Schizosaccharomyces pombe: one gene and its partner. Changing the gene in region 1 together with any one later gene gives a genetic interaction. Each region holds a gene or a part of one and is shown on either strand. Other genes may lie near its edges.

Region 1 (5,652 bases):
TGTGCTTTTAATGGTATTTATTCGAAGCCAGCGAGGGAGCGACACAGGATTTTTCAATGCCAGCTCCTCATGGCTCTTAACCCCTTTTTTCACCTTGAGTTTGACAAACTCGGCGTTCAGGCGTGTCTTGTGACGAAGAATGCATTCCTTGATAGGACCATTTGAAATGGATAACCCTCGCTTTGACATCAGTAAATCATGGACAAGGACTCTAGCCAAATTTTCTTTTAACTACAATAACCAGGTTAGCTTCAAAAAATTACGAAACAACTATCGTTTCATTAATTTGTACCTTTTTCTCTAAAACTAATAACTCGGATCGCGCAATTATTTCATCCAAAACAGGTTTATCTATATAAAAGAAGAAAGTTAGTCAAATCGTTTATATTAAAGTTTTACTATTCTTGTTTACATTTGAGAGTTTCGCAAACCAAAGCATAAGTGCGTTTTGGATCATGTTTTTTTGAATTAAATGCTAATTGCTTAATTGATCCTTTTTTTTTACTTAAATCTGAAAGTATGTTGGCAGCATGATTATAAAAATCCATATCGAGGCAAGATCCTCCTCGGTATGAGTAGTGGAAAAGCTGCTGCACAAAACTGAGTACCTTACTCAGGTCACAATGTCTATTGTTACTTGTATGTATAGGTATAAATAAAATATTCAACAATTGCAGCCAAAGTGAATTTGTTAACTAAAGAAATTTCTTATTGATGTTAAATTTTTTATTTTAATTGTGTTTCTCTCACGAATGAGAAAAATATATCAAACATAAGTCGTCTGGGCATAACAAAGTCATTCAATTGTCATAATCCATGAAACATAATAGTAATAATAATAAGCGTTTTAAAATGTGTAGGATAAACGTGAACAACCATTCAATAGGTGGCATGCATCATAAATAAAAGGTAATCTGACCCAAAATTAACAAAGTTATATTTCAGTCAAAAATTCATAAACAACACTAGGCCTTTAATTCAAAGAAACTAGACTACAGCGAATACTGAAAAATGTACGACTGTAATCAGAATATAAATAAACTTGGAAACGATCCGTAAGAGCTATAGTCTTTTGAGAATCATCAAACAACGTAATTTTAACAGAGGAGTCATCGGGAGCAACTATAAAACTTTTAATTCTATCATCTGAACTGAGGTCTACTCTGTTGGATATTCCATATTCAGAGATATAGACATCAATAGAATTTCCAGATATTCTAGTCGCAAATGCTTGAACTGGCATAGATTTCTTATCATGCTTTTTGCAATACTCAGCAATATATACAGACAAAAAGAGTTGCTGGCTATCTTCTTGCACAGTGGTGGATTTCTCCTTCTTTTCATTACAATGTGCAGCCACTAACGAACAATTTTTTTTGTCAATACCCGGGGATGTGTTCTTAAGGCTACGTTCCAATAAACGATGAACAATAATGTCAGGGTATCTTCTAATCGGAGAAGTAAAATGGGTATAATGATTAAATGAAAGAGCGTAATGGTGCCAGTCTGTTTTCTCACCGAAATCGCCAGTACAAAAGTATTCAGCACGATTTAACGAGCGAACTGCCATATTTTCAAATAATTCTACCAATTCTTCATTAAAAGTGCTTCTGAGTCGTACCATAGAGGCATTAAATGCAGCTGAAGACGATGCATCGAAATCGAAGTTCATGCTTTTTAGAAAGTGACAAAACTCATTAATTTGTTTCTCTTTAGGACTTGCATGGCGACGAAGCAAGGAATTATTGGAGAAATTTTTACTGATATGTTCAGCAACAGATCTATTGGCGAGAAGCATAAACTCTTCGATGAGATGATTTGCATCGGTTTGCTCATATACCTCGCATTTATTCGGCATTCCATATTCATCTAATTGGAATTTGAGTTCTGTCGAGTTAATCTCTACAGCGCCCTTAGCAAATCGATCTTTGCGAAGCTTTCTCGAAATTTCGCAAAGTGTTAATATAGACGTTTCAACATCTTTTGGAGTATGCGTACCTCCTATCGGTTTGCCTACAGCATCATCCCAGGACTTTCCTTCGATCACACCTTGAGCCTCACTGTAGGCAAGTCTGGCACATGTCTTTATAACTGTTTTGCCAAACCAACGCTTACCAATTTCCTTACCATTGGAGTCGAGTTTCCAAAAAACGCTAAATGCAAGACGCTCAACGTTGGGATTTAATGAACAAAGTCGTTCACACAACAGAGGAGGAAGCATCGGAATAGCCTTTTGCACAAGGTATACTGTTGTAGCCCGCGAAGCTGCCTCTTTGTCCAATGCTGAATCTGGTTTTACAAAATGAGTAACATCAGCGATGTGGACACCCACTTCATAAGTGCCATTGTCAAGAGCGCGACAGGAAACAGCATCATCCAAGTCACGAGCTGTTTCAGGATCAATGGTAATAATTAACTCATTTCTTAAATCTCTTCGTTTTTTTATTTCCTCATGTGAGATAATCCAATCATCAGGAGGCAAGCAGTTTAAAACCTCATCAGAGAAGGGAGAGCTACTAATTCCATTTTCTAGCAAAAGCGCATTAGTGTAAGCCTCCACGTCAGTAATATTTCCCAGCTTTTCACCTAATACACCCATAGGGTAACGAGAGTAAATACTCCACCTTGTAATCTCAACTGAAAACAACTGATCGTGGTGTTTCAAAATATTTTCAATCCAATTTTCACCACTTAAATCGCTTAAATCATTTTTGTGAATTGTGATAAAGGGCAGACGTTTATCTTTTGGAATGAAAATCGCGTACGAGGATTTTTTGGAAACATATTCTACATTTTTTAATGACCAACCTGGTGCTCTTAAAATCCCTACAATTTTAGAAATTTCCGCTCTCTTCTCAATGGCGACAACACGAGCTCTCGTTCTGCTATCACCTTTGAAGCTTGCAACACTTTTAATTTCTAATCTTTCCAAATGCTCCATTGCTCCACCTAACTCATCGTCATGATCTTTTATTTTGACTTTCTCGACACCATTCTGTAAAAAATTCGATTTTTCAGTGGGGCTGTCATTATTCATCACAGGTTCCACAATTACAACGTCGTTGTGAAAAGCACGATTTCTAGCAATTGGCCCATCAACATAAAAATCAGGTATATCTTCCATACAAGCAAAAGCGCTACGATGATTTTCAAGAATACGAAGCGTTCCTTTAAATAATGTACCACTTTTTAATCCTTTTTTAACCGTTGCAGAGTCGTAGTACAACGGGTATACTGACTTTTTCGCATTGGATGATACCATCTCAGTGGCGTTATTCGTATCTGCTTCAACTTGATGAGAATTGTTTTTTTCTCGTTTCGCGGAATTTTCATCTCGATTATTTCTGGACTCCAAATTCTTGGAAAGTTTCGAGACACTTTCTTTATGCACGTCGGTTTTATGTTCATCCTGCTTAGAACTTTTAGAGATTTTTTCCTTCGAGTTTTTCTTCTTTGCCTTCGGTTTAACCTTGGCTTTCTCGGTCTTCGTTTCAGTCAAGCTGGCTTTCTTATGGTTCGAATCTTGACCTTTTAATTGGGTATCTGTTGGCCTTTGAACAATATCTTTGATCCTTTCCAATAGTCCACTTCCTAATCCAGGAATGTTGGAATCATCATTTTGATGAGGATCGTGAGTAGTAGACGGATATGCTTTATTTTTTGTCTTTCTATCAATAGAGCCTTTTTTTTCTAAAGCAGCTTCTCCCTTTAATAAATTTCGCTTTTCCTTTCTTCTAATATTTGGTTTTAAATCCATACTTTGTGAAAATATGGAGGTGGTAGTAGAGTTAAGGCATGCAATTGTTAAATTCACTGAGCGCAACTAGGAGATATATTAGGGGCAACAAAATAAATGAAATAATTTATACTAAATGCAAAATTCTAAACCATTCATGGAAATCAATAAAATTGATAGTCTTGACGTTCGCTCAAATATCTACACTACTTCATTCTATACTAAGCTACAGTTTCAAAATTGATAAAGGGCGTATAAACTATACATCCAAAAAACATAGCTTTCTATCTTCCTCAACCAAATATCTGCAAGTGTATGGTTTTTAGTATACTTCTTGCTTCCTTTTTTGTTTTTTTGTATCGTACTGAAAGAGCTTAGTAAATCGATCTAAACTTGCAATTGTAATATTAGATTCGTTCAAAAGTTGATACTAATCTATTTATTAAAGGATGGCAATTGAGAAGTCATAAAGACTAACATAATTTTAATTACTTTTGTAATTGCAATTAAAGAAAAAAAAGAAACCATACCCAAAAATAAAAAAAAATTTCATAATCAAATTAAGAGACGGAGTATTTCTTCAGTCAATTAATAAGAAATAAAAAAAAAATAAAATAAAATAAAATTTTTTTTAACAAATGCTAACCTCCTAAAAGCTGTTTAACAAAGTGAAATCCGTGATAGAGTCACCTGTTAAATTCAATAATATTTTTTGATGTAAAAAATCACGTAGCTTTAAAAATTGAAGCCTTTTTCAGGTAATTTGAAATATGTCTTATATTTGTAATTTTTGAATAGATGGAAATGACTGAACGAAGATATTTGACAGTGGAATATATATTTTAAACACACTTTCTGATTGTAAACAAAGAATAATTGATATTTAACAAAACAAAATCCATTTATAAATTGAAAAAGTAATCATAGTAAATTAACGATAATTATTTTTTGCAACATAAGGATTTGGGATTATTTGCTAGTATATACTTTGAAATTACACATGCCATTGCTAGAGAAGTTAGAAGCTACTTGTTTACCTCTTCTAAGTTATCACTAGTACTTGCTTTCATACGAATTCCCCTTTCCGTTTATTTTAAGATCTATCTCTGAGATGAACAGATTGCAAGCAAAAAAAGCTGTAAATGTTTCTCGGCATGAGCAAAAACGGATTCGTTACAAGTTGACGCCAGAAGAAGTTAAAGCAGAAAGGAAAGAGCGGAAGCGACGTGCAGCAATTCAAAGAGCTGAAAAGAAATTAATTAGAGCCAAAGGTGAAGCTCTTGTAGCATTTCAAGCCGTTTCCAACCCAAGTTGTAACTTTTTGGTAATTGATTTTGAGGCATATGAATTCAACCAGAAAATCATAACTGAGGCTGGGATTACGATGAGAATTAATGGAGAATGGGACTACCACCACTACAGGATTAAGAATTTTCTACATCTACGCAACGGTCGATTTGTTCCAGATGAAGCCGATAACTTTCAATTTGGTGACTCCAAGATTGTGACAAAAATTGCGTTTATAAGTATTCTGAAAAAAATTTTGAAAACACCAAATCTACATCTAGTAGGACACGGAGTGGAAAACGAAATAAAGTATGCAAACGTCCTTGGAATACCTATTCCAAAGGATGTCACGGTTCTTGATACGCAGAACGTTTTCTCATTCTTTCAAAGTTTATTCCTCAAAGAAATTTCAAATTCCAACAACATCTCTCTTGCTAAAATGCTCACTCACTTGAACATCCGAGCTTTTTGTCTTCACAATGCCGGCAACGATGCGAGGTATACCTCAGAAGCCCTTCGAGAAATGACTAACAAATTCACGTTGTCTAATTTTTAATTCATTCTTTTTTATACTTGCCTTGATCAAAACTTGATATAACTTTCTTTTTACTTATTGCTTTTGCGCGTTA
Region 2 (6,934 bases), 2.5 Mb from region 1:
AAGAAAGTCACTTGGTTGGCTGATACGGAGGACAAAACTCCTGTCGACCTTGTTGATTTTGACTATCTTATTACCAAGGACAAACTTGAAGAAGGAGAAAACTATAAGGACTTCCTAACTCCTCAAACTGAATTCCACTCTCCCGTCTTTGCTGACGTTGGAATCAAGAATTTAAAGAAGGGTGATATAATTCAAGTTGAGCGTAAAGGTTATTACATTGTTGATGTTCCATTTGATGGTACGCAGGCTGTTCTCTTCAACATTCCAGACGGTAAGACTGTAAATCGTTACGGCGTTAAAAATTAGAATCGAGCATATTATCCAGTCGTAATATAAATTTTGTTACCTCTATTGTTTTTATAATATTTTTCTTCCATATGATTTGTAAAGTCGTGTTTGGTTGATTGTATCTGAGACTAAACTCCGAATACTAAATATTTATAAGTTTAACCGTTCAAACCGAAATTTCTCTTACTACAGATTTAAAGTATAGAAGTCTACTAAAATATTTGCACATAAATTTCATTCATATCATAATGTTGTCTTAAAACCTTCTATAAAGTTAAAGAATTCTATGCTAATAAAATTTATTATCACACCACTAAAATACAATTGGGCTAGTTAATCTGAAGTTTGCCCATCGGCTGAACGATGTGATCGTGCTTGCGATTGAGTTCTTTCGACCTTAAGGGTTTACCACGTTTTCCACCCCTACCGCGGATAGATTGTGTACCATTGGTAGAGTGGTGGTTACCTTTGCTAAACTTACTCTTCGATTTATGGATTAATGATTCAGGGGGAGGGACTTGATGTAGTGAAAAAGGCTTTGGATGATGCTCTCTTTTGTTCCAAACACTAGAAGATGGAGGGGATGGAGGTGATGGAAAAGTTGAAGTGGGTTTCGTTACCAAACGAGAGTCAGTACCTTGAGAAACATTATTTGCACTAACATTGGTTTTTCTATTCTTTCCGGCACGGGTATTTACAACGAACTGAGGATTTGTAACGTTTAAAACCATTGAAACTTCAACTTGCATACCATGATATGGCGAACACCTTCCATCTAGAGTAGTTCCGCTCATAAAAGGCAAGTCAAAGACGACATCCAAATGATGCAACATAATACCCACGACAGTTCCGTATGCTGCAATTGGAACTTTACCAGAGTCCTGAACATAAACAACACGATCGCCTAAAGCAAATTCTTGACTATGCAAAATTCCACGTGTTTGTGAAGGTTTTAATAAGGCATACCGAGGGACGCCAAAAACTTTCTTCGGAACCTGATAGGTAGAATCAATTGTGCTTGCTTTTTCCTCAATTAGCTTTATAATGTCCGAGTCTAAAGCATCTTCATCTAAAGATACTCTAGTAAGAGAGTTAATCCCTTTCTCTTTGATCCAATGTTTGACCGCAGCCAATTGTTGGGTATCATCTTTAGGGAAGCAATCCTTGACCGTTAAATTATCCTTGGTAGCATGTGTTGTTAAAATATTAAATAATTGAGGGAACGTATTTATGTACTCTTTAACAAGGGCAACGGTTTTGTTCGAGAATTCCCAACCTTTAGTGCTTTTCCGGGAAAATCCTAACACTTTTTGATTTCTGGCATCAAATTTTAAATTTAATCCAATATTTTCTCTTTTAGTACCATTGCTAATTAAGAAGCTAGATGTTATTTTACTTAAAAGTAGCGGATGTATGTTAAGCAACTTCGCAACGATATAAGAAGGATAATATTTCTCTTTTGACTTGCTATCGTTAACAAGAACACGACCCCATTGGGCATCCAACCCAGGGGCGGTTGATAACCAAATAATGAGCTTGTTGTCCTTGCATCCTGTAATTTGTGCAGGTCGCCCATAATTATACTCTCCGAGATGAAAAGCCTTCGTTCCTGGAGGATATTCCACCTCTACTGGCGGAGCTTCTCTCTCGGTAAATCTTGGATCATCTATAGCAATCTTTTCGACCACTAATTGGGCTGGATAATCCTCAAGGACAGATTCGTTAAAAATCTTAACAAGAGCACCTTCTCTGGTATACTCCAATCCTTTGATAGGACGTACTTGAAGCAATAAGGAAATATCACCAAAAAGAACGCCAAATCGTTTACTATATTCTCTAATTTTATGGGAACATTTACGGCCCCATTGGCTTTTTTCAATTTCTGCCAAATCCCTTTTCTCAATGGTACTGTTTGAAGCTAAATACATGTAACTTTCGTCCATAGCACTCTCCACATATGCTTCACGTAAATAAGGCCAGTCTACAAAAATTCGTTTTCCGACATATTGCATCGCAATTTGTTCCGACGTTAAAGCAGATTTGACGTCTTCAACATTGACGATTACGGAGGGATTCCTGCTTTCATTACCAAAAACATTGATACCATGATACACTAATTCTGCTTTATGCTTCAAAGTGTGAAAGGAAGGAAAACCCACCATTCCAAAAGCACCTAAGAAAACGCCAGGGCAAAGACCAACCAAATATTCTTTACCTTCCATCGAAGGTAGAGAGTAAGGTTTTTGAATACAGCGGGTAACCAAATCCGGAAAAAGTGAAGGTAATGAAGAAGGATAAAACGATGTATAATCCTCCGCTAAAGAGAAGACCGTTGGGGCATTGAAGGAATTTCTTTTTCGTTCCTCTTCAGTCAAAAATTTATCCTTGGATGCTAGTGCGTCTATAAGACGGGTTTCGTCAATAAAAGGAATTATAACCACAGCTTCCCAACTAGCTGTTTTTCCATTTTGATCCAAAGCAAAATTTTCTGGATAAAAATCAATAATTGGAGATTCGCTGTTAACCATTAAATCGCGGAAACAAGGGGGTACTAATGCCTGACTTCTTGCAGGCAAAACGGCCATGAGCTGCTCAAAAGGACGGAAGGGTGTACCCATTTTGAAATCAATCTTTACATCAAGGCCCTTTAAAACATCTGAAATCTTTGGTGCAAAATGGTAGTTGTAATACCAACCCCAAGACTGACATCCACGGTAATAATAGAAAAGTACCCATTGTAAACCTTCAACATAACGTTCAGCCATTGCTTTTAAAGCTTCTTCATCATAATAACTAAAACCAACCTTGCTTCGATAATAATCATCCTTCCATTGGATAAAATCTTTTTCGACGTTTTTTTCTTTTAAAGCTTGTTCTTCGTTAAGCAAAGGAATGTTATCATACTTTTGAAGTACACGTTCGATTTCGTCCTGCTCAATTTCATCTTCGTCTTCATCATTAAATTCAAGATCTCTAAATGTAATCCTTAATAGATGAGTGCCGTCTACCTTTATAATTTTGGAAAATGACAGATGAAGATCATTACATAAACGTCGTAGAAAGCGCTGATCAACAGAAGAAATGTTTGCACTAAAATCAATGAACGGCTCACGAGAAGACAAAAACTTTTTAATCTGTAAGAAATAATTTTTCTGCTCCCCTGTCATGGCTTTAATATCATTTGTTGATTCAGTAATATATTTGAGAAAGTCAAAAGATGGTTTGTCAGAGTTCCCATTGTTTTTTGTCTCAGAAACTTCAGCTTTAAATATCTCTTTCTCAAAATTCTCAAGTTCGAGGAGTATAAGTTCCAATCTAGCCATATTGATTACTCCCTTTTCATTAATATATCCCCCAGCAGAAGGCATAACTTTTTTGTATATACTAAACATCAAAGCTAACGCACCCTCATTAATATGAAGCCCAGGCAAATGGGGAAGGAAGTCATTTCCGACAAAAAAAGCTAAAAGAATAAAGTCGTCAAGGATTTTTTCGAGATCATACTTAAAAGTGAATGTAGATCGGCATTCTTGAAATTCAAATTCAAGATATTCTCTTAATAAACTTAAATGCAATAAATAAAATTTTTGGTGAGCCAATTCCTTAGAACGGTTTCTACTTGCCGGACCAAAAGTAACCTCCTCACGTAATAGACAAAAATGTGGATCATGAGATAAAAGACCTAGCATAATTAAATCAGCATCCAAACCATAAAGGCAATGGCGAGTGTTAGGATTATAGCTAGGTTGAGCCTTTTGGGTTCGAATATATTCCATAATTTTATGCTCACCCTCACCGGGGCAATCGTGGCCAGAGAAAATAACCTCAATGTTCTGCCACTGGGAATCGTTCGTAACTTTTTTGTGAATAAAATAGTATAACTGTCGTGAAACCCTCTCCATAAAAGTTGTACCTGGCGTTATACAGTTACTGTCAAATTGCTCCTCGGGAAAATCCTCCCCATTACGTTCTGCTTTTAAACGCGCATCGTGGGCATCTTTAGCAGTTCTGAATCGGCGACTGCGCTGTTGATTCATTTTCGCACGTGGGGCACATCCATCTACTGCCATATATAGAAGCTTTTTGGGTTTAATTTTTTCAAATAAATGCTCAATATAATTAAAAATGGCTATATACATTTCCTCTTCTGGAAGTGGTGGTGAGGAATGATCATCATTCTTATGCGTACAGTTATGAAGAATACCATTCATATCTAGATAAAGATTATCAAATCTATTTCAATTAGCTCCATACGTTTCAAACGATGATTTAAATTGACATACTCGGGAATGCGATCGTTTTCAATCAGCTGACTGCACAGCGGATACCTTTCGCTCATCCATCGAAAAAACTAATTGTTAAAAACTTATACAAAATATCGATAACAACCTTTGGAATTCCCATACTGAACGAACTTTCTCATTAACAGTTAAATAGGAATAAATTTAGAAAGTATTGTTGTTAGTAGAGAACAAATGTCAACATATGCGGTGCTTGCACGTATCGATAGGCCCCAGGTTAGTGAAGTTTAAGGAGTTAGTTATATAGTACATGAAATATTGAAAATGTGTAGATCCTCTTTGATTTAATATCATACTAACAGAAGCCTTTTTAACGATATCATTGTGAGTAAAGATATTATCATATTATCATTTTTTTCAACAAAAATACAAATGGCAAAATAGTTAGTCTTTGAGACTAGCTGAGTCTAAAATAGAGCAAGTTCTTAAACATTGAGGCGAAGGAAGGAGTTTAGTTGTTTGAAAAACAAATCAAACACATTTATCAAGAAATACGTTTCGACTAATTGAAACTGCAGCAGTAGTAGATGATTAAAAAACATTGGCAAATTTTATAATTAACGAGACATTTACCTTTATAATAATGTGTCTAGGGTATATCAATACAATCACTGTAAGTTGCTTGCAATACTTATCGATTACGGTACAAAGATTATTCATTCATAATATATTTGATGATAAACTATTAATTGAGCTCTTGCAAATTGAAAGTCTTACACAGCAAAACTTAGTAAATAATTAATAAAATTGTTGAAACTTCATATATGTATATAATAACATGGACTAATTTACCATGTAACCAAAAAAGTGATTCGAAACAACGTTCAAAAAGAAAACTTAAATAGTAGTTTTCCATTAGGATAACGTCTTCCTTAGCACGTTGAGGCTAATAATAGTAAGGTGGAGTGAAATAGCTCCGGTCAATTTTCAAGAAAATAAAATAAGCCATATGAAAAACGACCATGTGTTCGAATTTCTTCTCATAATACTAAGATATCAAAAAAAAAAAAAAAAAAATTCGTGAAAAACAACTGAAGAAGGGCATTCATATTTTTAAAGAGTAATAGAGAGAGAACTTTCGACTGCTTTTAAAATCTTTGGTTGCTAAATCGTATGCATAAATAAACATATGCAAGGATTGATATATTTAAAAAAGTGATTGTTTTAACAACTCAAAAACTGGAATGCAAAAAAAAATAAAAATATAATACCATTTAGTTGTAATAGGAATTTACGGACGGTATCACCTCTAGCGATTAACGAACAAAATAAAACCAAAATTAAAATTTTCCAATCAATCTAAAAAACTCCTCCCTAGTTTTATGGCTTCTCTGAAATATACCAGTAAGACTACTAGTAACAGTACTGCTACCCGGTTTTTCAACACCGCGCATAACCATGCACATATGAGTAGCTTCCATAACGACTGCAACTCCCTGAGGTTTTAAGACAGCTTGAATAGCTTGGGCAACTTGTTTGGTAAGACGCTCCTGCACCTGTAGGCGACGCGAAAACATATTGGCTATACGTGCGAGCTTTGAAAGTCCCAATACACGCTTACGAGGAATATAACCAATATGAATCTACAATAATGTTAGTTTAATACGCTGAGTTTGTGAAAGAGGGTTAAACATAATTGCATAGCCCAATCACGTGAATGCAATGGATAAAATCCACTTCTAAATGAAACCTACTTTTCCAATAAAAGGAACCAAATGATGCTCGCACAAACTGAATACATCAATATCTCTAACAATGACCATTTCTTCGTGATCTTCTTGAAATACTGCCTCATTGATCACTTCGGTCAAATTTTGCTCGTATCCTTTGGTAAAGTAAAGCATTGCCTTGGCATACCTCTCAGGTGTTCCCAAAAGGCCTTGTCTCTCAGGATCTTCTCCCAAACATTCCAAAATTGTTGAAATAGCATTGGAAATTTTTTTTACTTTTTCTTCCTCAGCAGTATCTATTCTACGTTGTGTTCCTTGACCTAATTGGTATTAGAATACTTAAATGAGTATAAAATATGCTTTCATTACTTACAAGGCCAAGAAAGCCCGTCTAAATCAATAGTTGGTGTAGATGCGCCAGAAAGTGAGGCTGGTTGCATCCTCAAAGGAGAATCTATATAATCCTTTTTTCCAGGCTCCATGAGAAATAAATTTTTAATAAATGAAATTAAGATTGCAATGGATAAGTAAACCGCTGCAAATGTTTTACGCTAACCGACAAAAATACTGTCACACATCTTGGTTCATGCAAGAGAGTGTAGCGCAGAACCAAAGTCTCACTATTTGTAATTAAAGATCGTTTTGCTGTTTAAAAAGTTCCCAGGCATGATTAAG

The links.
Region 2: mutations in dis32 (region 1) and exo2 are lethal when combined (synthetic lethality), as found in Schizosaccharomyces pombe (one study listed by BioGRID).

What each region holds. Positions count from the first base shown.
Region 1 is NC_003424.3:4,270,324-4,275,975, forward strand, and holds dis32 (3'-5'-exoribonuclease Dis32), read right to left. Parts: upstream 3,807-5,652; 5' UTR 3,758-3,806; coding exon 974-3,757; 3' UTR 569-973; downstream 1-568. Other genes in the region: rcm1 (rRNA methyltransferase), read right to left, coding at 1-231, 293-351, 413-548; SPOM_SPAC2C4.08 (uncharacterized protein), read left to right, coding at 4,848-5,579. UniProt on the Schizosaccharomyces pombe protein: 3'-5'-exoribonuclease that specifically recognizes RNAs polyuridylated at their 3' end and mediates their degradation.
Region 2 is NC_003424.3:1,776,307-1,783,240, reverse strand, and holds exo2 (exonuclease II Exo2), read right to left. Parts: upstream 4,752-6,934; 5' UTR 4,693-4,751; coding exon 4,678-4,692; exon of another isoform or gene 4,640-4,677; coding exon 4,572-4,639; exon of another isoform or gene 4,532-4,571; intron 4,522-4,531; coding exon 618-4,521; 3' UTR 501-617; downstream 1-500. Other genes in the region: gus1 (glutamate-tRNA ligase), read left to right, coding at 1-306; fol2 (GTP cyclohydrolase), read right to left, coding at 5,870-6,172, 6,284-6,579, 6,633-6,741; UBA/TPR/DNAJ domain protein Ucp7, read right to left, coding at 6,890-6,934. UniProt on the Schizosaccharomyces pombe protein: Multifunctional protein that exhibits several independent functions at different levels of the cellular processes. 5'-3' exonuclease component of the nonsense-mediated mRNA decay (NMD) which is a highly conserved mRNA degradation pathway, an RNA surveillance system whose role is to identify and rid cells of mRNA with premature termination codons and thus prevents accumulation of potentially harmful truncated proteins.